Oreochromis niloticus: one gene and its partners. The protein of the gene in region 1 purifies or fractionates together with the protein of each later gene. This does not show direct contact. Links are inferred from orthologs where the notes say so. Each region holds a gene or a part of one and is shown on either strand. Other genes may lie near its edges.

Evidence for each region.
Region 2: the proteins of bbs12 (region 1) and bbs7 purify together in Homo sapiens (co-immunoprecipitation; 3 studies listed by BioGRID and IntAct, counting the BioPlex papers as one, with this or other methods). This does not show direct contact. The link is inferred for Oreochromis niloticus from reciprocal best matches to the Homo sapiens genes BBS12 and BBS7.
Region 3: the proteins of bbs12 (region 1) and mkks purify together in Homo sapiens (co-immunoprecipitation; 4 studies listed by BioGRID and IntAct, counting the BioPlex papers as one, with this or other methods). This does not show direct contact. The link is inferred for Oreochromis niloticus from reciprocal best matches to the Homo sapiens genes BBS12 and MKKS.

The regions. Positions count from the first base shown.
Region 1 is NC_031966.2:11,148,932-11,157,280, forward strand, and holds the start of bbs12 (chaperonin-containing T-complex member BBS12), read right to left. Parts: upstream 3,465-8,349; 5' UTR 3,363-3,464; exon of another isoform or gene 3,343-3,362; intron 1,680-3,342; 5' UTR 1,666-1,679; coding exon 1-1,665. Other genes in the region: cetn4 (caltractin), read left to right, coding at 3,675-3,677, 3,917-4,072, 4,181-4,309, 5,079-5,216, 7,732-7,821. UniProt on the Homo sapiens protein: Component of the chaperonin-containing T-complex (TRiC), a molecular chaperone complex that assists the folding of proteins upon ATP hydrolysis.
Region 2 is NC_031966.2:11,820,489-11,828,485, reverse strand, and holds the start of bbs7 (BBSome complex member BBS7), read right to left. Parts: upstream 3,745-7,997; 5' UTR 3,320-3,744; coding exon 3,284-3,319; intron 3,187-3,283; coding exon 3,121-3,186; intron 2,444-3,120; coding exon 2,381-2,443; intron 2,307-2,380; coding exon 2,131-2,306; intron 2,042-2,130; coding exon 1,855-2,041; intron 1,768-1,854; coding exon 1,698-1,767; intron 1,619-1,697; coding exon 1,499-1,618; intron 941-1,498; coding exon 810-940; intron 646-809; coding exon 561-645; intron 455-560; coding exon 352-454; intron 253-351; coding exon 60-252; intron 1-59. Other genes in the region: tmem33 (transmembrane protein 33), read right to left, coding at 5,751-5,880, 6,081-6,164, 6,401-6,534, 6,973-7,040, 7,403-7,590, 7,702-7,796.
Region 3 is NC_031978.2:23,282,111-23,290,705, reverse strand, and holds mkks (molecular chaperone MKKS), read right to left. Parts: upstream 3,881-8,595; 5' UTR 3,841-3,880; coding exon 2,814-3,840; intron 2,599-2,813; coding exon 2,417-2,598; intron 2,092-2,416; coding exon 1,981-2,091; intron 1,883-1,980; coding exon 1,454-1,882; 3' UTR 1,354-1,453; downstream 1-1,353. Other genes in the region: protein SLX4IP, read left to right, coding at 4,237-4,356, 4,537-4,617. UniProt on the Homo sapiens protein: Probable molecular chaperone that assists the folding of proteins upon ATP hydrolysis. Plays a role in the assembly of BBSome, a complex involved in ciliogenesis regulating transports vesicles to the cilia.

The DNA of each region.
Region 1 (8,349 bases):
CTTGTTATAGTCCTGCAGTTGTTGGCTCACCTCAGTCCTAGCTTTGACTTTTGAAATTCTTCCAGTGTTAACCATTACAGTGGATATGTAATCTATTAAACCATCTGCCATGAGGTCCAACACTACACGCGTGTAGTGGTTGGTTCCTTTCTCACCGTTCTTTTCTCTGTGACACATGACATGATACTCCACTCGCTTTTGTAGGTGATGAATACAAAGCATTTCTGTCCCACACGCCCCTGGTAGAAGAGCTCTGTCTTTTAGTGCATAGTGTAAGCGATAAGCACAGGCCCAAAACTGGTCCTCCAGGGCCTGCAGCTTTCCATGTATAGAGCTTGTAAGGATTACTGTAACTAGCCCGCTGTTGCTGCCAGTTGAGATATTCACAGCCAGGGCGTTCTTCTCGTGGCTACTGAGGTCTTTCCATATTGCAACCTTTGCCCCAGTGCCAACATTTTGCTTGCTCAGTTGCGCAGCAAAGGTTACCGGAACAACTCCAGACAAGTTGGCAAATGTCTTCAAAACAGAAGCCTTCACATTTTCCACTACAAGTATACGATGCCTACAACAGTGCTGAATCACTTTTTCACAAGCGTGCCCATGGATTAGTATCAGGTTCACTTCCAGGTTCAACAGATGTGCCACAGTCTGTTCCACCCATTCGTCCTCTTTGCTCGAACTTGAAAAATCCACGTGATCCCTCACACGGTGCATACCTGTCGGCCTGTTAAAGCCAAGATGGCGGTAAGTATGTGATAAATCTCCATTTATGAGAACAACCTTCAGTTGTTGTTCTTTTAAGTGATGAGCGACTGTAGCCTGTTCAGCAAATAAAAGAACAACACAGCCAAATACAACGCACCCGTGGTCCTCTGGTAAACCAGGGAGCATACAAGTCACCACTTTAGTAATGTCAAACATGGGATAGCTCACATCTTCTTGATTAGTTTTTGACTGCATCCAAATAACTTCGACAACAAGTTTCATTGCATCATCACAACCATGGCTCAATCCCTCTGCAATGTGTACAATGTCAGGAAGCTTAGGCTGAGGAGACTGTAGCAATACTTTGGAGAAATCTTCAGACTTCGCCTCACAAAAATGTCTGCTAAGTTTTATTCTTCTCTGTTCACCGACGGTCAGAGTCTTGAGGTCAAACTTTATTGTTTCTTGCATGCTGCACAATGCAGGCGATGAATTTTTGATGGGTTTCTTGGACACTTTCACAGCATAACTCTCTAACGATGTCACACCCAGACCATCAATTGAAACGGCACATTTCCTGCAAGCATCCAGACATACATCCATCCCTTCAGACATAGCTGAGATTATGTTCCCTACTGAAATTCCTCTCTGAAGACAGTCCAGGGCAACACGGCTCCAGGCTCCTGCTAGGAACAGTAGGCATCCTGATCCTGTATGGTAGACCTTCTGGTGGGCTTGAATAGTCTCATAAACCAGCTGACCCACTGCACAGGTCAGCTCCAGGGTCTCAATAATGCGAAAACATGAGCACACAAGAGCAGACTCCCCACTTTTGTCATCTTGGATAAACTTGTACTTTATACAAGGGCCCAAAGAGGAATGTGAGATTCCTGCCAGCGCCAACAGTTTCTGCAGTCCAACATGCTGTCGATGGTTTATGATTGTACTTCCCAACATCATTCGAGGACTGTGAACTATAAAAGAAAATTTTTAAGTTTGGTCATTTCTAAACAAAAAAAGTTCTCACGAACATTTGCTTTAGTTAGGAAACATGATTTGTGTTTTTAAAGTAAAAAGTCACAAAGCACAGTAACTAAGTATAGGCCCTCAGATCTCCTTTTTTATCCATCCATTCTCTTCTGCTTATCCTTATTTAAGTCGCGAGAGGGCTAGAGCCTATCCCAGCTACCATAGGGTGAGAGGTGAGGTACACCCTGGAGAGGTCACCAATCTGAGACAGAGCACACCTCCTGGAAATTCAAATGTATTATACATTATGGTACTGTAATCCTCAAATGAAAAAAGATTTGTAAGAAACTAAAAAGACGCAGGGGAGGGGGGATTGCGAGAATAGCTTTTTTTAATGGCCCTATTTGTTTTTATGCTGTTTCTTTTTTTTATGATAGACCATCTTCTACTACTCCTTCTTTTGCCTGCTCACTTTAGGGGTCGCCATAGCACATAACCTGGCTCCATCTCTACCTATCCCTAGGATCCTCTGTCACACCAACCCCCTGCATCTCCTCCTTCACTACATCCATGAACCTATCTGTGGTCTTCCTCTTTTCCTGCCTGACCTCATCTATCAACCTGTTCATCACCACTGTGAACAAGAATGGGCTCAGGGCAGATCCCTGATGTAATCCCACCCCCACTGAAAACCCATCTATCACTCCTACTGCAAACTTCATCACTATCCTCATAAATGTCCTGCACCAGCCTCAGATATTTCTCTAACACTACTCACTCCCTCATGCAGTACCACAGTTCCTCTCTTGGCAGCGTATCATATGCTTTCTCTAGAGCTACAAAAACAGCCTGAAACAGTTTTGACCTTCTCCACACATCTCCATCAACATGTTCAAAGTGAATATCACATCTGTAATTCTCTTTCTCGGCATGGAGCCCTACTATTGCTCACGGATTGTAAACTCTCTGGTTAACCTAGCCTGAACAACTGTTTTCTTTAGTTTAATGGCAAGACGTGTCAACTTTACAGATATTCTAGAAAGTTCTAATCTAGTTAATTAAGGGTTTCAATCATTTTTATGCAGAGAAGCCTTAACCCGAGTCATCACTGTCAACTGAGCTGTTTTCACTGTCAGTGTGGGCTTTTTAAAAAAAAACAAAAAACAAAACTCTTTTAACTCTGATAACGGTAATTAAAATAGCAATTTGGCAAGTTTGATATTTTGTTTTGTTTTCCTTCTTTGTCCAGGGAAACCAAACTGTTCGTAAGCCTTTCACCCCCTCATCACGTGTCTTTTAAGATTTAAGCAGTTTACAGCCAAGCACTGCTAAATGGAAAATCGTATTTGCAGACAGATGGCAGTCAGCATACTGACTTTTGACAGATATAATGGGTGCAACCCATATATAATAGATTTAGGTATTAGATGTAAAACATTGCTACTCATGAAAAACTGACGGGTATTAATTCTTCCTCCAACACTAGCACCGAGTTTTGTCAATGCCTGCACTTCACTCAGCATCTTACAAGTCAGCTTACAAGCTAAGCTAACGAACCAAAGACAGGTTTACTACAAAACTGCCCGTGTCTGTACCTTATTCCAAGAGCAGGACAAAAAACATAAATGTCTCTGCAAAATGGCACTGTAAAACAAACTTTTTACTAACCTCAATGAGTATACTTTTACCTTATTTCAATAGTGTACGAGACATTTATAATACGCCTGGTCCAGCTCAACCGATTAAACACTGCGCATGCGTTTTGTTTCCTAGTTGCTGGGCGACAACAAACTGTCCGTATGATTGGCTGAAACAGTTTTAGCCCGCCTACTCTTTTTTGTGATTGGTTAATCAGGTTTCGTCAGCGTGCTTTCATCATTTGTATTGGCTCTTTCCAATGTCTGTTCACAGAAAAACTACACAGCCGTTGCTACCTGGTTTGTTGACACCAGACCATCAAACAAAACATAGAGGTTTCCCCGTCGGGATCATTAATTCAAATGGTGTGCATTTATTTAATTAAGTAAAGTAACTGTATAAACGAATGTTTAATGAACATTTTAAGAAGTTGTGAGATTTGCCATAAAAAGCCCTTAGTTTTAACTTGATTCTCTTTGGTCTCCCGGAACAGCATTTAAGCTAGCTAGCATAATAATGACCTAAAATACGATATGTACCGCGACTCTCGTTGCTGTTAACTTAATAGGTACCTTTTGTGATGTATTAATATTGTATTTCATAGGCTTCAAGTTACCGGAAACCAGCTTCCACGGCTAGCCAAAGGAAAAAGACGGATTTAAAAAACGACCTGACTGAGGAGCAAAAGCAAGAAATTAAAGAGGCGTTCGATCTCTTTGACACAGATGGAACTGGAACAATAGACGTGAAGGAGCTCAAGGTTGGCTTTCTAGTTAAATGTGTATTGATGAAAATTAAGAAAGGAAAACATATCGCGGTCACTGCACCGCAGCAGCTTCAGCTTTCTTTACTGTTATCTGTGCCACAGGTTGCCATGAGAGCTCTGGGCTTTGAACCAAAGAAAGAAGAAATCAAGAAGATGATTGCAGACATTGATAAAGAGGGCTCTGGAACGATTGACTTTGGTGACTTTCTCAGTATTATGACACTGAAAATGGTGAGTGCTTTACCGAAAGGAACAACCAGAAAACGTCTCTGCAGTTAAGTTGGAAGTTTTACTGTCTGAAAATAGCACTGTCCTCAACTGTTGCAGCTAAATCAAGCATTTGTATGTTGTTTCAACAACTGTTGTTTTGGAGCAATTCTAAACATTGCAAGAAGTTGCTAGATATAGTAGCTTTCTTTCTCTCGCTCTTGCTCTCTTTCTCGCCCTCCCTGTCTCACACACAGACACATTTGTAAGGCTAGTGTATTTGTGGGTTGACCCATGAAAAACCAAATCGTCTCTGCCAGTGCTTGTTCTGCTCTTGACTCTTGTTTGGAGCTTCTGGTACTTCAGATGTTGACGATCAGGTGCCTGATTGGCATCTGATTAGCATGGGTCCTGCTACAATGAGCAAATACATCACGGCACTGTACATGCAAAGTCACCAACACCTTTCTGGCTTTCCTGTGTCCTTACTAATAAATAGCACAGTAACAGTAGATCATAGCAAAAGGCTTTCTTCAGACTGAAAAAACTATAGATAAAATGTATTGTGGCCACCTGTTCTTTACATTACAAAACATTTTTCCATTTAAGAGTTATAAAATATACTGTATGCACATTCTTTATGTCTGTGTTTTGTAAAATTTGCTTCACTTCATTTCCTACACACATTCTGCAAATTATGTTCATATTGGACTGCATTTGGAGCAAAATGTTAAAAAAGCACATTTTTAATTTGTATTATATTCATGTGTGTATTCATTTTTGATGATAACAGAGTGAAAAAGACACAAAAGAAGAAATACTGAAGGCTTTCCGGCTCTTTGATGATGACTGCACGGGAAAAATCTCATTCAAAAATCTCAAGAGAGTTGCCAAGGAGCTGGGTGAAAACCTCACAGATGCAGAGCTGCAGGTATAGAGTTCTTCATTACTTTGGAGTACTTACAGTTTTGGTTTTTTGGGGGGGTGGTAGCACTTTTGCATGTACATAAAAGATTTTGTTTATACTAAGAATAACTTTTGTATTTTTATTGAAGCCATGCTAAATTCATACCATGAAATAGTATGAATATCTGTGGGCCAAATTTGGAAAATGATTTTGACATATAAGGAATCACAGAAGATGAGCCTGATTAAAAAACAAATGTAGGTAAAAATGAGACCTTTGATAATGTTATAGTTTTGTCCAAACAACTATCCCACATAGTGATTATACAGTACTGTAAGGAAGTCTTTGGCCCTTCCTTATTTCTTATTTTTTTTGCATATTTGTCACACACTGTGGACATGCACTAGCTATCCACAGCTACCTGCCCCTGTGTGAAGAAGTAATCCACCCTCCCCTTTTTAAATCATGAATTAACTGTGATTAAACACATTTTTTTGAAAGCTGACTTCAGTTTCACAGCCACACCCAGGCCTGACTGCTGCCGGAATCAGGAAATCACTTAAACAGAGGCTGTTTAAAGGAAGTAAAGTAGGCTAAAAGATCTGAAAAAGCAGCACAGCTGTGAAACAAAAACATTGGCATCTATCAGTTTGGAAAGGTTTAAGGACTCCAGCAAACCACGGTGAGAGCTATTATACACAAATAGAGAGAGGCTGGAACAGTGGTGAACCTTCCCAGGAGTGGCTGACCTGCTAAAATTTCTCCAAGAGCACACTGATGACTCATCCAGAAGGTCACAAAGAACCGAGAACAACATCTAAAGAACTACAAGTTCCAAGAGTGAGTTCTAACCAAAAAGAACATAAAGGCTATTCTCACAATTGCCAAAAATGTCTTGTTGATCTCCAAGACCTTGACGAGACAAAAAGTTGAACTTTTTGGGAAGGTTTGAGTCCCGCTACATCTAGCATAAAACAAACACAGCATTTTAAAAAAAGTACATCGTAGCAACATCTGGGCCTGCTTTGGTCAACTTGACTTAATTGACGGAACTTTGAGTTCTGCTCTATACCTGAAAATCCTAAAGGAGAATGCCTGACCATCAGTTCATCCCAGAAACTCATGCACACTCAGGTTATGCAGCAGGACAATGATCCGAAACACACCAGCAAGTTCACCTCTGATTGGCTTAAAAAAAAAACAAAGAAAACACAAGTCACGACTGATTAAGGTGCTTTGGCATAACCTTAAACAGGCTGTTCATGTGGCTGAATTAAAACAGTTTTGCAAAGAAGGGTAGGACAGTGATGTGAAAGGCTTGATTGCAGTTTCTACTGCCAAGGGTGGTAAGACCAGTTATTCGGTATACTTTTTCACATACTGCCAGGTAAATTTGGATAGCATTTTTCCCTCAATCAAATTAATGAAAAAAATCATAAATTAAAAATTGCATTTTGTATTATCAGGTTATTGAAACTGATTCCTGAGGTAATGATGCTCAAAAAGTTGGGTTTTGAGAAAAACCCCATCTTGAACAAAAAAAAGATTTTGAATTTAGATTGTGATATTTGTAGTGGGTGTAAACTGATTTGATTTTTAACAGAGCGCTTTTCAGTTCTGAAAAATACAATATGGCTTTCTCCTTTGCATAAAACCTGATGAAGGCTCAGTAACGCTGGGTAAAATGAAATGAATTAATAAAAAGGTTTCTCTACTGCTCTGCTGCTCAGTACTTTGAGAGCCTGCAAGTCAGTCTGCAGTAAATATTCATAGTGTAAAGATTTAAATTTTTATATGTAAATGAACCGGTTCTCGCTTTTCTACTCTACTTTATATGCCTCATTCAAACACACACTCATATAAGCACTTTTTTTCTACACAAAAAGTTCTTTCTGTCTAACATTCACATACAATCGTACTCCAATGAGCACATCAGAGAGCAACTTGTTGTTCATTATCTTGCACAAGGATACTTGGCCTGGCCTGCAGACTAAACCACCAACCTTCCAGTTAGTGGATAACCTGCTGCACCTCCTGAGCTACAGCCACCCCAGCTGGCTTTGTTAAATATACTAAAGTACAAAAAAAAAGTTGCTCATTCTGATGGGGTAAAGTGGACCCTTTTGCTGGTTTGACTGATTTTAAATTCGCTACCTCATATTTAAAATATTGTAGTACCTCTACTACAGTAAATTGTATAAGTGGTACAAACCGTAAATTAATACCGCATGGCCAGAAGCTAAGAATTCTTTATTTAAAGAACAATACATACTTAGAGGAACCACTATAAATACATTTCTATTTAAGTACCAAACTTATTGTCTCTCTTCTCATATCTCCCAGTTCCTCTTGGTATGTTCTGACATGTCACAGTACAATAGTAGTAACTGTATTGTTTTAGGTGGGGTTTTCCTGGGTAACCTTTGCAGTCAAATGCCATGCATGAAACACAAAGTTACCTGAAGTCAGTATGAGAATTGTTCCGGTTTGATGCTCTCACTTCCTTCCCTTTGCTTCATCACATTTATTATCCTTTCAGGAAATGATTGACGAGGCAGACCGAGACGGGGACGGTGAGGTCAACGAACAGGAGTTCTTGCGGATAATGAGGAAGACTAATCTTTATTAAACCTCAGTGTCTTAGAACCTTTGTTTGTATTGTAACTTTTTTTGGAACATTAGTTTTGTTTGTATGGAAATATTTTAATATGCTGTATCTTTGCACACGCTTTTATAAAATTGCAAAACCAATAAATCTATTTCATCAGAGTTGATTTGTCTGTTACATTGTCATTATAAAATCCATTATTTTAAAAATAAAGACTCAATGAGTTGTCTTTTTCTACAAAACATACAGTTTGGCAGATAATACAAAAATATGAATTATACAAATCATGTGCAAGTGTGATTTAGGATACACCTAGTCTCACACACACACACACACACACCCACCTCCCCTCACCCCCGGGGGGGTTTCATGCACTGAAGTACAGGTGGATCTCAAAGAATCAGAATATTGTGAATTTTTTTTTTTTTTTTTTTTTGGTAATTTTGTTCTAAAAGATGAACATATATTTATTACGTGTAGGTGAAATACACTTAGCAGCTAACTGGGACTTCTTTACAGTGAGTTCCTGCATCAGTGCAGTGAGGCATG
Region 2 (7,997 bases), about 670 kb from region 1:
ACTTTTTGTTTTGTTTTGCAACTTGTCTTTTAACAGTGCGGTATAACAGACAAATGTACCTGCAACAGCAGGTTGTCGATGGCAGTCTGCACCTCCAGGGTGAGGCTGTAGCTGGCATCGTCTTGGCAGAGTGTAAACTTGTCATTGATGCTGAAGACGGGGACAGCAGAGACAGCCGTGCTTGATTGAGAGGTCTGCTGGTACTGCTCACGTCCCTGCAGGACTTTGACCTGCAGCTGCTCCAGCTCTGCCCTGAAAGTTGACAACATTACTAACTGAAAAACAGACTTGTTTTGAAATCACACTTCAGAGTAAACCAAACAAAAAAAAGGAACAAGATTTTGCTAATACCTGAGTGCTTCTACTTTAGACTGTGTCTCCTTGCTCATCCTGACTTCATCTCCGGGGCCAGCCTCGGCCTTCTGAGGCTCAGTGGTCAAACCAGTCACCCATCCTGTAAGAGGTGAAGAAAAGAGTGGACACAAGACACCAGACACTTATTGTTTCTGAGGAAAAAAAATGCATAAGCTGCAGTATTAAGGGAAACATTATCATCTAACCAGTGTAGGTGGCAGTCAAGACCTCATCATAAGACTCCTTCCCTACACAACCACCCTGGATGGAGGTCACACTCTCTGACAATACCTGTTATGAGGAAATATTAAAGATTAAGAAGGGAGTCTGTCATTTAATACTTAAATGCATTAATATATGTAAATTAAGCAACAACTATTCAAAGAACTTTAGGTTTGTAACAGTTACAAAAATACAACTGTAATTCTATGGAGAGTGAATTTTTAATCACTTACATGCTCAAAGCGTAATGTCGGTTCATTAGAGCTGTCAAAGCCGTAGACCTCAACCGTCCCATCATCCCTCCCCACCAGGATATCACTCACTCCGTCACCAATAATATCATAGGTGTCAATGCAAAGAATTCCTGGGAGACAGAAAGCGTGATCGTTTTGCCAGAGGTTAAAAAATGCATAAGTTAGTATGCATGAGTATCAGTTTAAACACTGTGGAAACATAGACTGTGTATAAAATGAGATCAGATAGATCTGTTTGAGAAACAAATTGTTACTGCACGCCCATGCAGCAGACCAGTGGTCCCCAACCCCCGGGCCTCGGACCGGTACTGGTCTGTGAGTCGTTTGGTACCGGGCCGCGAGAGTTGAGGCTCAGGTGTGAAATGTATGGTTTTCAGGGTTTTTATCGGTTTTCAGTGTTATTTTGTTATCGTTAACTCGGTTTTCCTGGGTCTTTTCACTTGTGTTATGAATAAATCTTCTTTTTTTCGGTACCGGTACTAGTTTTATTTTGTTGTATTTATCCGCGACACCTTAAAGGCCGGTCTGTGAAAATATTGTCAGGCATAAACCAGTCCGTGGCGCAAAAAAGGTTGGGGACCGCTGCAGTAGACTCTGCTTTATGACTGCTTTGACTCAGAGCAATCACCCTCTGTTGGACAGTAAAAATATTGCATTTCTGTACATACCTCCTTTCTTTTTGTCATTGTCAATTTCCCATTTGGTCGCAGCTGAATGTTCACCAATCTCAACCAATCCTATTTTTCCATCTGTGGTTCCATAGAGAATTTCCTCTCCTAAAGAGAAATCTAAGAAATTAAGTTCAAACTGGTACATATAAAGCAACTTCATGCTTTATAGTTAAAGTAAACAAAGAAATCAGCTTGCCTTTATCTTTATACAGTTCCAACACAGAAGGAGGGCCAGGAACTTCTATGTCATATGCAAGTTCAGATCTCTACATACAAAACCATAAAACAATTGGCATGTCTCATCTGACAAAGAGCAACTCAAAATCAGAACAGTAAATGAGAGCTCAGTTTACCTGCAAGACTCTGAGCACTCGATCTTGGCATGCCAGGACTGGGACGAGGTGAGTGAGGTTTTCTGTGGACAAGCATGTGATGTCATTGATCTTGTCTCCAGAGAGGTAGTAGTCCTGATCTTTGCAGTCACAGTAGTGGTTGTAGATGTAACTTGCGCACACAAAAAGGTCGGAGCCTGACACATGCCTGGAAAAGACCCAGTGGGGTAAAGATGACACAGCTCTGCACAGCTCAATCGTGTAATGTAAATCAAAATGAAAAAACATAGTTCCTACATTGCATTAATGCTCTCAGTTAGGTTGGCTTCAAAAGTGAGGAACTGTTTGCCTTTCTTGGTGAATCCTCGGACCTGAGAACCAGAGCAGACAAAGATCTTTTCCTGGGGAGTTCCCGCAGCACCTCCAAGGTCCATTCGGGCTATCTTCTGCCCAGGAAGTGTTTTAAAGACGGGCTGAAACAAAGAGTCAAAAGTCTTACAAGCTGTTTGTTTCAAATCTCTGTGATGACAGGAAAATATTTACTCACCACTGCTTCCCCCTTCTTGATACCAAAACATGTGAGTATTCCATCGTGATCAGCAATAGCAACCTGAAACATGAGGAGACACCAATCGAGCACTCTAAGATTTACCAATTTCATTTTTTAGTTTAATTAATGATTGTAGAAAAGGCAAGGAATCACATCTAGAAGATAAGCCCAGTGTCAAAAGAGACCTTACATATACTATAATTTGTTTTGACCAAGCACTGATCCCAAATGGTGATATGACCTTTGAGGTTTACCCAAAATGCACTTTTTAAAGTTTTCTACAATGAACTAATAGAAAACATGTTTAATTAAAGCCTGCTGGAAAAATGGTGTTTAAATATTGTTTTGAGGCAAAGTCTATTAATTTTTATAGTGTTTTTTATGAAATTTGACTGACTATACAAGCAGTTTACATGTCCCATTGAAAACTGCCTCTTTCAATTAAACTGAAACTTCAAAACAACTGCCCAAATTACTACACAGCGTGACAAGTCTTACTTATTGAAGGGCTCTGGTAAAGCAATTATTTATCAAAAATCAATGTCATTGGTTTTGATTTCTTACCATCTAATAAACAAAATTAGTATTACAGTTAAATAAACTAAAACCCAAACAAGGTTACATTTTTTAAACATCTGCAGTCTTCAGCAAAAGCAGGAAAACAATCTGGATTTAGTCAGAAAACAAGAAAACACATTTTAATTAATTTAGGTTACTGTATGGCTCATAAACGATACCTTTTGGGTTGCCTTTTTTCCCAGTGGAGGAAGAAGCCTCATAGTTTTCTGAGATGTCACGCCAACCTGAGAGGTAGAATGGAGGGGAACTTTTACTCCTAATATTAATAAAAGAAAAAGAAAAAAAGACAGCAGAAACCCGACGTGGTCTGCTTTGTTTTACCTGAATGTAATCAACTCTATTGAGGCGAAGATCCATCTTCTTTCTCTACTGTGTTTCAACTTAAGTAGAAACAAAAATCTGCAAATAGTCCAAGAAGGTTATTCAGACATTACTCTTGCCCCATAGCCGTCCGTTACCATTAACATTTTGTCAGAAAAACGTTCAACCCAATTCCAAGACGATAACGATGCTAGCTGAGACTGGGATTATCTAAAGCAAGTGGATTAGCTCAACGTGCTAGCTTTAGCTATCGGAGCTAACTGGTACTGGCACGCAGTCTTCCTCAAAGACCGAAAATCATCTTTAAAAAAGACACGAAGGAAGTCGATGTGTGTAGATGTGAGCGCGGATAAATTTTCATTAAACGCTGATATCAGGTATAAACGATCTGTGCAGCATTTTCAGACTTGAAGAGGGCAGTTGCCGTTGCTAATGGCAACGTTGCAGGCTGTAACAAAACTGCAATTCCACTGGTTGAAAGGGAGTAACAGACATTGAAGCTGTGTTCTGATTGGCTAACTCATTCACGTTTTCCACCCTGTGCGTCATGTCACTTCTACAGCTGGCAGAAAATACAATAATACATGAAAGACAAAAAGAGAAATGAAACATAAAAGCAGCAAATAATGACCATAATCTTTTTAAAAGTGGCCAAAGCGTGCCATTTTGCCAGTAATGTGAAAAATCCCATTAGCCTTTTGAATTTTCAAAGCTTTGGAAACAACTGATTAGTTTTTACTAAAGGATCTGTACCAACTTTTACTCTTTCTCTATTTTTGGGAAATACAAAATTGACTACTTATCCAGACCCTCTTGGCACCTCTCATTTTTAAACATAAAACACCATTTAATTTTCGTGACACATTTATTATGCCAATGTTGAAGGTGCTTAAAAGTCATAGTCATATTTCTTTATACACACCATTAATAAACACAGTCCTTTAGCTACACAAATGCTGGCACATACTGTAGAGAAACTCAAATTTGGTTTTAGTGATGGTATCTTGTCAGAGTTGTCTTGAAAATTGTCTTCTTTCTTGTGTTTTCAGATGACTAACTGGTGTTGTCAAAAGTAATCAGGGAAGAATACGTGTCTGAACTTAAATGGACAGAATAAGCTCTTTTTACTCTCCCACATAAATACCTGTTGCATCATAAAATCAAAGAACTCTTATTTAAAATGATACATAAATATCACACATTATTTATTTTTTTGGCAAATATATCCCAGATAAATGGCATGCTGTGTGTCTATAAGATTTATTTGATATGTATGTGTAAAATTGTTTTTAGGTTTAATTGGAAACCACTTAAAAACAATGTACTCATAGGGTATGAACAATTATTCACTAACTCACATTTCTCTAGTAAGAAACAATATACATTAACACTGTAATTATCTGTGATAAATACTTTTATATTAGATCTATGCTTTGAATAAATATTAAAAACAGGCATAAATAAATCCTTATTAGGATTTGTTCATATCGAAGTCAACTATTATAATGCAAGAACTTATTGGTACCAAACCCAATTAGCATTCTTCAACACTGTGTTTGTTTAGGAGATAACTTTATTGTCATTATAAAAATGTGGTTTGTCTGTAGGCAAGTAAACACAATTAACATGGCAGGGAAAGAAAAACATACCAGAGCATGCATTAAGCAAGAAACCTATAGCCTAATAAGAAATGAATGACTCAAAATCAAAACAGCTTTTAAACTGAGAAATGAGGTCAGAGTGCATTCATAAGCATGGCATGCTTTCTGCAAGTTATTCCATTTGTGAATCATACAGCAGAACATCTGGTACCTTAAAATATCCTATAAAATACAGCAGATTATTTTCTCAGTTTAACATCCATTTGACATCATAGCTACATAAGATTTTGCATGTTGCTGAAATGTGAGCCAATGGCATTGATAGAATACATTTAATAATTAGGCTTTAGACAAATAAGAGCATTGGATGCTTTACAAATCAGACATAGTTAGAACCTGAAAAAGTACAATATGATTATTTAAAGAAATGATCAGAATCCATTGTTTATAAACACATGTTCATTAATTTACTAATCTCAGAATGTTAATGTTTCATTATATAATAAGTGATTTTAATGAATAAATAAGACATGAAAGGAAAGAATGATAACAGCCGATAAACGGAACACAGCTGATGTCAAGCTAATGTGCTCAGCCCATCGAAGGTAACAGAACAACAGGATGTCCACCGCTTCAATGAGGTCACATTAAAAGGATGGAAAATCAAATATCAGCATGAGCCTTCAGTGCATTACTGGCTGGTCTTCAGCTGCACTCAGATACACAAAAATTGGAGCACAGACTGTAAAGTTGACATTCAAAAAAACGGTTCCTTCCATTGATGGCAAAGTCTTTCCCCATCGAAGTTAAGTCACATCGTACATCTTACTGAAAAACAACACATGAGGAAAACAAATTTAGTGTAATCAAACCCCCGTGGGGGCGAGGCGGCTGATAAAGGCGATACTGCTGAGGCACATCCTCCTGAAGAAGGCAGGGCAGGCAGGCTTCATGATGAAATGCTCCAAAAGAATTCGCAGCTCGGTGAACAAGGTGCTGAGACAGAAAGAAAAGTACTTCACTCGGATTGTATTGAAAGTAAATCTAATCTAATCTTTGTACCTTCTGAATAGCAGGGCATGAAAACTCTAAACAGAAGGGCCATGTCCTGGGTTGAACCCCAGAGCCTCTTGCTGTGAAGCAACAGCGCAACACCATGTTGCTATGTGACAATAACAGATAATTCAAAATCTTACCGGCAATATGGATTTCTTCTGGATGTGTAGCGCAGAGTGAGGAATCGGTAATAAATGAAAGGCAGCAATAGGCTCCCCTGGCCGCTGTTGACAAAATATTATTGACATGAACATGTGAAAACTGGACACTCTGTATTAAGATTACAAAGAAGGGCTTGCATTTGTTGAGATAAAACTGATACATATTTATGAGATTAACACAACAACAACAACAAAACAATCACTGCCAGTAATCAATATTAACATATCACTAGATTAGGGATGCTACAATGGGTCTTCACAAAAGAAATCCTTCACAAAAGAAACAGTTGTACGCATACCTGAACAGCATAAAAATAGTTGCTGGCATCAAGAAGATCTCATTACAGGCAATAAACTTCAGGATATTCTGCTGATTAGATGTCAGTTTGTCCAGGAGGCCCCGGATAAACATCATGCTGTTTGGGCCCATGGTCTAAAAGAAACAAAAAATAGTCACAAAGTGAAATGAAAGATTTGGCAAATTAACATTTTGAAAGGAGCAGTGGGAGCAAGAAGTAAAAGGTAAAGGAAAACACATTAGAAATCATTAGCTTCCAGATTTTAAGTTGTGTCTAAATGGTACATTATACTTTCATAGTTCCATTTAACTGTAACAGTTAACTATAAAGTTCTTTACGATGTGTTTCTAATTTACCTAATCTATCTCAAACACGCACACACACACCAACAGGAGCAGAGCAGCCATGTAAAGCGCTGCTCTGTTGCCATTGTGTGAATCCAACCACAAACCTTCTCTGCTGCCTCAGACATGGTGGTCTGGCTGGTACTAATATCCCAGCTTGTGGCTAAATAATGTTTAAACTGATTTCACAGTAATTTTCAATAAGTCACTGTGGTGACTCATACTTACATCAAGAACTTTCTTTGTGTAGGTAGTTGCGTGAAGCAAGGAAAAAAGAAAAACTGGAAAGATGCTCACTGGACAAGAAGGTTAAGGTTAAATAACAGAAAAGAACAACTTCCTCCTAAATAATACAATAGTAAGGGAGCATGATTGCACCTATGGAAAAACTAAATCTTTCACTGCTAAGACTAATTGATTTGTAATACTGCAGGTCTGAATCCTATTGAATGTCTCAAAACGAACCCTTTAAGGAATCCTATCAGACTGTCTTTGGAAAAAAACTGCAGCAACAAGTAAATAGTGAATCACTGTCCAACTATAACAGTGAAATAGTGTTTCATTATTGTTTAAAACTAAAAAAACAAAACACACAATGTATGTAGCAATGCTATCATCTCCATTTAAACTTGCAGACTTGCTCACAATGAAAGGATACTTGTAATGGGGTAGGAGTTGACCAGGATGAGTGAGTAGAGCAGGTAATGACAGCTGTCCTCCTGCAGAGCCTGGGCCAAGAAAGCTCTGCTCAGCTGAAAGCGTGGAAGCCTCTGGTGTAAGCGAAGAGCACTGGTGAGGGCATTCGCTAACAACGCTCTCTGATAGAAGTTAGCTGCTGCATAAGGTCTGAAATATACAAGCAGTGACAAACACTCAAATGCTGATTTAGATTGGTTTATAACTACTTTTAAAGCTAATCAACATTTATAATTAGATGATTTTCCACAGTGAACTCACCCCAAAACTGGTAGAATGAACATTACAGAGCAATAGACAGTGAAGAGTCGTGACAGCCACATTGCAGTTTCCAGCTTGTTGCTCATCAGAAATTGCTGCAGAGACACAAAGATGGTTAACATTAAACCCAACCAATCCCTTGTTCTTGTCTCCACTCTTCTCATATATACTGGTAGCAGATTTACTGACTTTAAACTTACACTCAGGTTCTCTCAGTGGCTAGCATACAAAATTCATCCAAACTAAAAAGCATCTTAATGCAATCTACAAGTTAATTTTACCGCCTTGCCTTCAAA
Region 3 (8,595 bases), on another chromosome or scaffold:
CACTACAGGGGCAACAATGAGAAGAGCCCAAAACAGGAATGGTTTTACACGTGGAGGACACTGACATTTTTGCCTCCTCATCTTTTCTGACTGTTTTGCATTTGGCTAGGGTCAGAGTCACTACTGGTAGCACAAGGCAATACCTGATACCAGAAGGTTTGCTGGGTCTCCCATCACAGTCTCAAGAGCATGGAGGAGATTCCAGGAGACAGGCTCTAGGAGAGCTGGACAGCTGTGCCTGTAAAAGGTCCTTAACACATCAGCAGGACCGGTATCTGCTCCTTTGTGCAAGGAGGAACAGGATGAGCAATGCCAGAGCTACAAAATGACCTCCAGCAGGACACTCATGAGGGTGGTCTAAGGGCCTGACGTCCTCTAGTGGGCCCTGTGCTCACTGCCTGGCACCGTGGAGCAGATTAGCATTTGCCATAGAAAACCAGAATTGACAAGTCCACCACTGGTGACCTATGCTTTTCACAGATGAGAACAGGTTCACCCTGAGCACATATGACAGATGTGAAAGGGTCTGGAGAAGCCGTGGAGAATGTAATGCTGCCTTTAACATGGTGGTGGGTGAGTGATGGTCTGGAGAGGCATATCCACTGAGAGGCACACAGACCTTTACAGGCTAGCCAACGACACCCTGACTGCCATTAGGTACCAGAATGAACCCCATGGACCCACTGTCAGACCCTATGCTGGTGCAGTGAGTCCTGGGTTCCTCCTGATGGATGACAATGCCCAGCCTCATGTGGTGAGAGTAAGGAGAGTTCCTAGAGAATAAAGTAACTGATGTTGCTGACTGGCACCCACACTTGCCTGACCTAAATCCAATAGAACACCTCTGGGAACACCTCTAATGACAGGAGCTCATTGATGCCCTGCTCCAGATCTGGAAGAAGATCCCCCCCAGGACACCATCCGTCATCTCATTAAGGGCATATGCAGACGTTGTCAGGCATGTGGGGGCCACACAAACTACTTACTAGTACTTTGAGTTGCTTTAATGACATTTCTGCAAAACAGACTAGCCTGAAGTATCAATGTTTCATTTTTATTTTTGGGGTGTCTTTGAATTCAGCTCTCTGCAGGTTGATAATTTTCGTTTCCATCCAACAACATGGTATCTCTTTACTGCTAACACATTAGTATAATTACCCAGCATGATTTTTTCCTCAGAGACATCAGATGCGTTTTCAAAGTATTCCTTTAATTTTTTTGAGCAGTGTAGTTAAAGATTAATGCTGCCTTCACAGATATAAGTTACCCATGTCAGAATGTACTAATGTACCCCAGTGCCAACATGGGTTTTAAATGATATGCAAAAATAAGACATTCCCACTCCCTACTGTCTAAACTTTGTTTTTTTTATTTGAAACCAAAAAGGAAGCATTCAGTCCTTATTTTAAACCCCACGAACCAGAATTCCACACTACACAAAATATTTGTTCTGCTAATTCATATCTTGAATTATATATTTAACATCCAGAGCAAGATTAGCAGTTTCTATAGCAACTTGCAATGCGCTGAGTTTAGCTGTGAAGGAGTCTAGTACATGTGGCTGCACACGAGTGTCTCTAAACACGGGCGATGGACAGAAATCCGAATATTTAGTGTTTAGATAAGTCCACTTCTTACTTGGGCTACTTTGTACCAGACCGCAGCCACAGAAGCCCAAACTGTCCTCCATGGTTTCTTTGATGGCATCTGCAGGGAGCATCCAGCGATGAGCGTGAGTCAGATCAATTAAAGAACTGCCACCATCATGCTCCAGTGCTCCAGCTGCAGACTCCAGAGCACAGCAGAAAAGCTCCACACCAAGAAGGTACTCTGTCTGTGAGCACATTAATACTGATGCAGTCTCTGGTACCTCACTCTTGCTCTAAGAAAAAAAACATGGCATCATGAAGGCATGTCATTGTGAAAGATATGTGAAATCAATAAAACTGGGGTAAGTGAAGACCAAATACTGGATCTCACCTTGTGTCTAACATAAGCAGCCAAGTGTGTCTCAGTACAGCCACCCCCAACCAAGGCAAATGGTTCCCTTAGAGTGAGCCTCAGTACATGTTCTGCCGTCTGGCACACCACCTTTAGCACAAACACACACACAAAGTGACCACTTTGTCACATTTACATCACAATAATGGGTATACCATGTCTCTGTATTAAAAACATATATTTTTTTAAATCTGAAGAAATTTGATCTCTCAATGGACGAACACTAAAAAATTTACTTTGTGGGGAAATCCATTACTGACTTCTCATTTGTTGAACTAACATACAGCAGGAATTGTAAATCTTAGCAATAGGGAGTCTTATGAGTGGAATCTACATTGTTTCAGGCAATATGTCTTCCCATCCATCATTAACTCCAGAAGCCAACAGGGCAGCTTTAACACCCACTTTATCTTACCTTCAGCTCATTTAACATGGTCTGGTTCCTGTGGCAGAGGATCATTGTGCAGATCGCAGACTCCCCAAGAGGGAGTAAATGCAGCATTGTCTTGGATCCAAAGTGCTTTATACAGAGATCCCTCACCTTTCCGTAGGTCTTGGGTGGGATTGTGGTATGTAATGTGGCCACAGGTTGAGCCCCTATTTGTAAAAGGTATGCAAACAAACAAACAAACAAACAAACAAACAAACAAACAAAACCCTACCATAAATACAACACAAAGTATATTCCACTTGGACAGTAGATAGATTATTACAGTAGTGCAATGAGTTGACTTGAAATACAAATAAAGCTATTGGTGTTTAACTGGTGCTTGTATGTATGGCATGATTTTGCAGCCTGCATCTGAGCTTACCTGTCAGCTGAGTGAGTGGTTCCATAAGAGCAATTCCCAGTCTCTCTACCACTATGACACCATGACTCCTCAGGTATTGCTGCAAAACTGGGTGGATGACCTTCTGGCACACGAAGAGCTTCACTTCATCATTAATCACCTGTCTGCCAAGCTCCAGAAGTTGACCCAGGATCTGTGAGTCTGTGTCTACATCCGAGTGGGCCTCAATTACTCCATCTCCTAGTTCAGAAATGTCCCCAGCAAGAGATGCACTGAAAAGCACAACACTGAGGGGATTTAAAAGATTGTCTTCCTCGCTCAGGCCATCAGGCATCTCCACCAGTAAACCTGGAAGCACTTCAGAGCTTAGCACAGAATGGCCTTCTACAGGAACAGTCACTATTCTGCCAAAACTGACTATACCTGGACTGCTGCAGGGAACGGTGAGCAAAAAAGCTTGCACAGCCAGTTTGCTAATGTGAAGCGTCTCGGGCTCTGTTAGTACACATGCGGGTTTGCTGGAGATAACACTGCGAGCTAACGTGATCAAGTTCTGAGTGCTGCAGAAGTCGAGCTTCACTCTACAACCACAGTCTTCTCGTTGAAGGTAGCTGGTACACAGAGCGAGCAGGTAGTTGTTCACTCTGATAGCCACGCTTTCCCTGAGAGCAGACTTTTTGATTTGTTCAATAAGAGAAAGGCATAAGATGGCTGCAAACAAACCGCAGTCGCTGAAGCGAGAGACGTGGTTGAGGATGGAGGTTTTTATGAGATTGATAAAAGACTGCGAGGAGGAAACGGATGAAAGAAGAACCGAGGAGGCAGAGGTGGTCACGACGTGTCCTCCAATGTTGTTGTGAACTTGTTTCAGTCTACCTGTGGGACCAAAACAAGACGTTAGTATCTGTTTCAGCAGCTGAAGCTTGCTGCAAATATCAGTGTTGTCCAGTGGCATATCAGTGCAAACAGATGGAGATTTCTTGCTGACTCGAGACATGACCGAAGCAGATTTAACATTGTTGAGGTAGACAATACCAACATACGGCATTGAAATCGGCAGGAATAAGTGTTAGTAATGATAGAATAGTGATGCTCGTAGCATTGCCTGACCAAATTGTTTTTAAAAAGAACGGGGAACAGTTGCAGATTAATTTATTAAATCCAACCAAAACCATTACTACCTTATTGTAGGGTCTAACGTTTGATGCCATACATATTTAGATGTAATTTGACAGTGTATAGTTTAAGAGATTGACAAAGGCGTTGTACAGACACAGCTCGTTTCCATGGTAGCAACACAGCGCTTGGCCCAGCTGCGGTCCTACTCGAGAAACCGTCGCTTGCCTCTAGTACCGGCTTTTCATAAGGAATAAACAAACTAAAAGCGAATTTACGAGTCTTTATAGTAGAAGAGTAGTTGTCCATCTCTATTATTATTTTTTTTATGCAACAGGCATACAGTGAAACGTCCCACTCACAATGCCCTCAGTTATTGGACTACAAATTTAAGGTGACGTCATCTCCGGTCGCCTGGCTGTTGAAGAAACATTCAAAACTGTTGGCGGTATGAAGTCCTGGTTAACTTTATTATATGTATATGTTTTATGTCGAACGAACTTATTATATGTTATTATTTTATTTTATTATAACACTTGTTATGTTTTTGTAATTGTTGACGGTGGTGGTTTGTCGCACGAGCGTAACTAATAAAGAAATCTGTCTCTGTTGTCTTCAAAAAATACAGCTAATAGCTGCTCACCGTGCACTTACTCTAGTGAAGCTAACTGAATTCATGAGAATGGCTCCTATCAAACTTGTCATTAAGGTAAGTGAAACGATATACCCACTACACAAACTCGTGCGGTGTTGTGTTGAATTAACATACTGTATATTATATTTGTTGATGATGAATGACTAAAACGAGGTAAAGAAGGGAGTGTGGCTCAGGAAGTACAGATGATTAGTAAAGAGGAAGTGAGGGCAGCTGTGAAGAAGTTAAAATTATCGTAAGACTCATTTGCGGAAAATTTGTAGCAGTATGAGCTGTACTGTTTTCATTACTGGGATACAGCAGACACAGGAAGAAATCTATACAACAATGTAGGCTTGAAGAGAATGCAGGGTAGGAATCCAAAGGAAGAAATGTTGATTATTTTGTTGACAATAGGACATATAGGCTAAACCATACACTAGAACAGGCAAACACCGAACAGGTCTCTGCATTTATGTAATCCACCAAAACCTGTTGAACATGTATCAATCCTTTGCATTAAGTTTGAGTGAGAAAGAAGAGAATCAGTGGCTTTATTCAAGGACAGAAATGACAGTTTTTCATTGAGGAATTTGTTACTGAAATTAAACAAGCTTTTATTTAAATATCTTGAATTAGATGATTGATGCTAGTCTCCTGTCCACATTCCAGTCCACTAGGTGGCAGTAATGCACCTGTTGGTTTGCCAACTTACAGGTGCATTACTGCATTGAAGAAAAAGCTACAAGAGGATGAAGAGTGGAAAAGCAGTTGGTTCAAATGACTTGCCTTTGGCGGCATATGGATATCTATATGAGAGGGAAGCATGTGATTGGATGCCAAGGAAGGAACTGTGTTATCGCATGAGGAAGTTAGAAGTGGCAGAGAAGTATTTGAGGGTAGTACAGGACATATATGAGGACACCAAGATGATAGTGAGGTGTGCAGTATAAGTGAGCCCATCCTTTTTCGCTGTTGTGATGGACAGCTGAAATGAGGTCTGGCAGGAGTCTCAGTGAACTGTCATGTTCACAGATGACTGTGATCTTTAGTAAGAGTAGGGAGCAGGTGGAACCTGGAGAGATGGAGGTGTGTTCAGGAGAGTAGAGGAATGAAATTCATTAGAACCAAGAAAGAATAACTGTGTGTGAATAAGAGGGAGATGGGTGAAGATGGAAGGAGTAGAGTTACTGAAGGTGCATGAGTTTAAATATCTGGGAACAACCATCCAAAGCAACGCACAATGCAGAAGAGAGGTGAAGAAGAGTGTGCAGGTAGAATGGAGCAGGTCAGAGGTGATTTGTGGCAGAGGGATAGCAGCAAGACTGAAATAGAAAGTTTACAAGATGGTAGTAAGACTTGCTATGATGTATGGTTTGGAGATGGCACTGACAAAAAGACAGGAGGAGGAGCTGCAGGAAGCCGAATTGAGGAAGTTCACATTGGTACTAATCAGGATGGACAGAATTCGAGATGAGCATATCGGGGGACACCTCAGAGTGGTTTGGAGACACAAAGGGCCAAGGCTGTGCATGTGTGCAGGTGATGGATAGTGGATATGTTGAGGAAAGGATTTTTGCTATGGAGCCCCCAGGCAGGATGAAAATAGATATACAGAGAAGATGAATGAATGAATGTGAAGGAAGACACGAAGATGGTTGGTGTGACAGAGGAAGATGCTAAGGAGATGGTGAGATGTAGGCAGATGGTTAGTTGTGGGAGTGCCTGAAAAGATCAGCTGAAATAAGAAGGAGATAATAGAGCAGGGCGATATGACCAAAAATATTTATCACGATATACATTTGAAAATTTGCGATAACGATATAACTGACGATATAATTGACACTAGACAAAATACTTTACAACTCCACAACTTTATTAGTGCAAAAAACCCCATCAATGTATTTTCACTTAAACAAGCAGCTGTTTTTTATGTGCATTAAAGTTATATAAAAATGTAACAGTGCAAATGCAAATTCCTTGCTGGCAGTTTAACCAAAAGGCATTTCCAGTGGAAATTGGCCCACATATCCTCAGCATAACCATGTATAATATCCACAAAACTTAAAAAGAGGTTATACACACACAATACGGTAATATTATGTTGAAGCACAGTACGTATCACTCCGCGAGGCTCCTGCCTACGATAGCCGTAATGCTCCGACAATCCATCAAGCGGTGCGGGTTCGTAGTTTAGCAAAGTCGTACTAAAACATTTGACAGATTTTTGAGCGCCGTGTACCACATAAAATCGTTTCGAGGTCAGTAAACACAACCAGAATTCATACATAAGGCACACGGGATTATAAGGGGCACTGTCAATTTTCAGAAAAATCAAAGGATTGATTTTAAGTGCGCCGTATTTTCCAAACAACACGGTAATAACGACGGCCCGCTAGCATGCGCTACCAAAAACAGTGCTTTGTTGTGTATCTGAGGGACGAAAGCTAAACCAGTTCCACACCACTGAAGTTGCAGCATTTTTACAAACCGATTCTGGTTCATCCGTTTCATTTAACGATCCACTTTCGCTCTTCTCATTCTGCGTCGCCGCCATGTGCGTATGTAAACATAGGCACTGCGCATGCGTGTTTTACCCATATTCTATCGCGATATTTAATTTTCCTATCGTTGCCCAAAATTACACCGGTATTACCGTGAACGGTATGATATAGTCCAGCCCTAGGAGATAATATATATTTGTTAAATTAAAGAACGTTGTGCTCCCATGTTCAACTGTGCAACAGCAGTTGTGCCTCAAGATAAAATCAGACGACCCCTGTGAGCAAGTACATGGTGACAATGGGAAGGAAAAATCTGTTGTGTGGTCAGACAAATCAGACTTTGAAATTCTTATCAACGCTCAGTTTAAAAGCCTGCATCTCTGGTGGTGCATTAATGCCTATGGGCTTGGCAGCTAACACATCTGGAATACGCTCCAATCCAGATGATGTCTCTTTCAGGGAAGACCTTGCATAATTCAGCAATACAATGCTAAAGCATGTACTGGATCTGTTACAACAGCATGGCTTCACAGTAGAAGAGTCCCAATGCTGAACTGGTCTGGCTGTATTCCAAACCTTTCACCAGTTGGAAACATTTGGCAGAAAATAAAATGAAAAATAGAATAAAGAAGACGCAAGACTTTTGAGCAACTAGAATCCTGTATCAGATAAGAATGGGATAATGTTCCTTTCCTAAAAGCTCAGCAGCTGGTCTCCTCAGTTCACAGATGTTTACATTGTTGAAAGAAGAGGACATGCTACGCAGTAGTAAACATGGCCCTGTCCCAACTTTTTTGAGACATGTTGCTGCCAACAAATTCAAAATGACCTTGTTTTTTTTCTTGAAATAGTACTACAATTTTCTCAAGTTTAAACATTTGGTATGTTTTCCATGTTCTCTTGTAAATAAAATGTGGGATTATGAGATTGAGGACCAATGAATTCTGCTTTTATTAACATTTTATACAGTGTCCCAGCTATTTTGGAATTGGGTCTGTAACTCTAATTGAAGTACATTTGCTGAGAGCCTTTCCCAGTAAACTTTGCTCAGGGCTATAAAACTGTTTATAGCTTATTTCAGCGTCTTGTCAACAAGTACTTGCCATATGTATTTGGGAAATATTTTGCTTCTAAGAAGCTGAAGAAGCTGTTTTGTGTTTTTCACTCACCACAAAATGCATTTTTCTGACGTAAGATGCACACAAGGTACCAAGCGACGAGATGAATATGCTTTCTTTTCAAACGTTTTAGCCGTCATGATAAACAGCTCTCTGTGTTTGTGCTACGTCCAAATAGTAGAACAGCTACACAAACTACTTCCAGCAAATGACATGAGTTTTTATGGTCTGCGCTAAACCTTTGAAAAGCTCTCGTGCAGCCCTGGAAAATATGCAACCCAGCAATACAGCATGTGGTTGTTTTTCTAGCATTTGCTGTATTCATATTCTGATGTAAGATTGTCTTTCTTTTTTCCCCTCTAAGTAGCAATTTATTTGTCCACTAGAGGGCACTACAGATGCATGTTTCAACTGCTGTAACACCACATTAC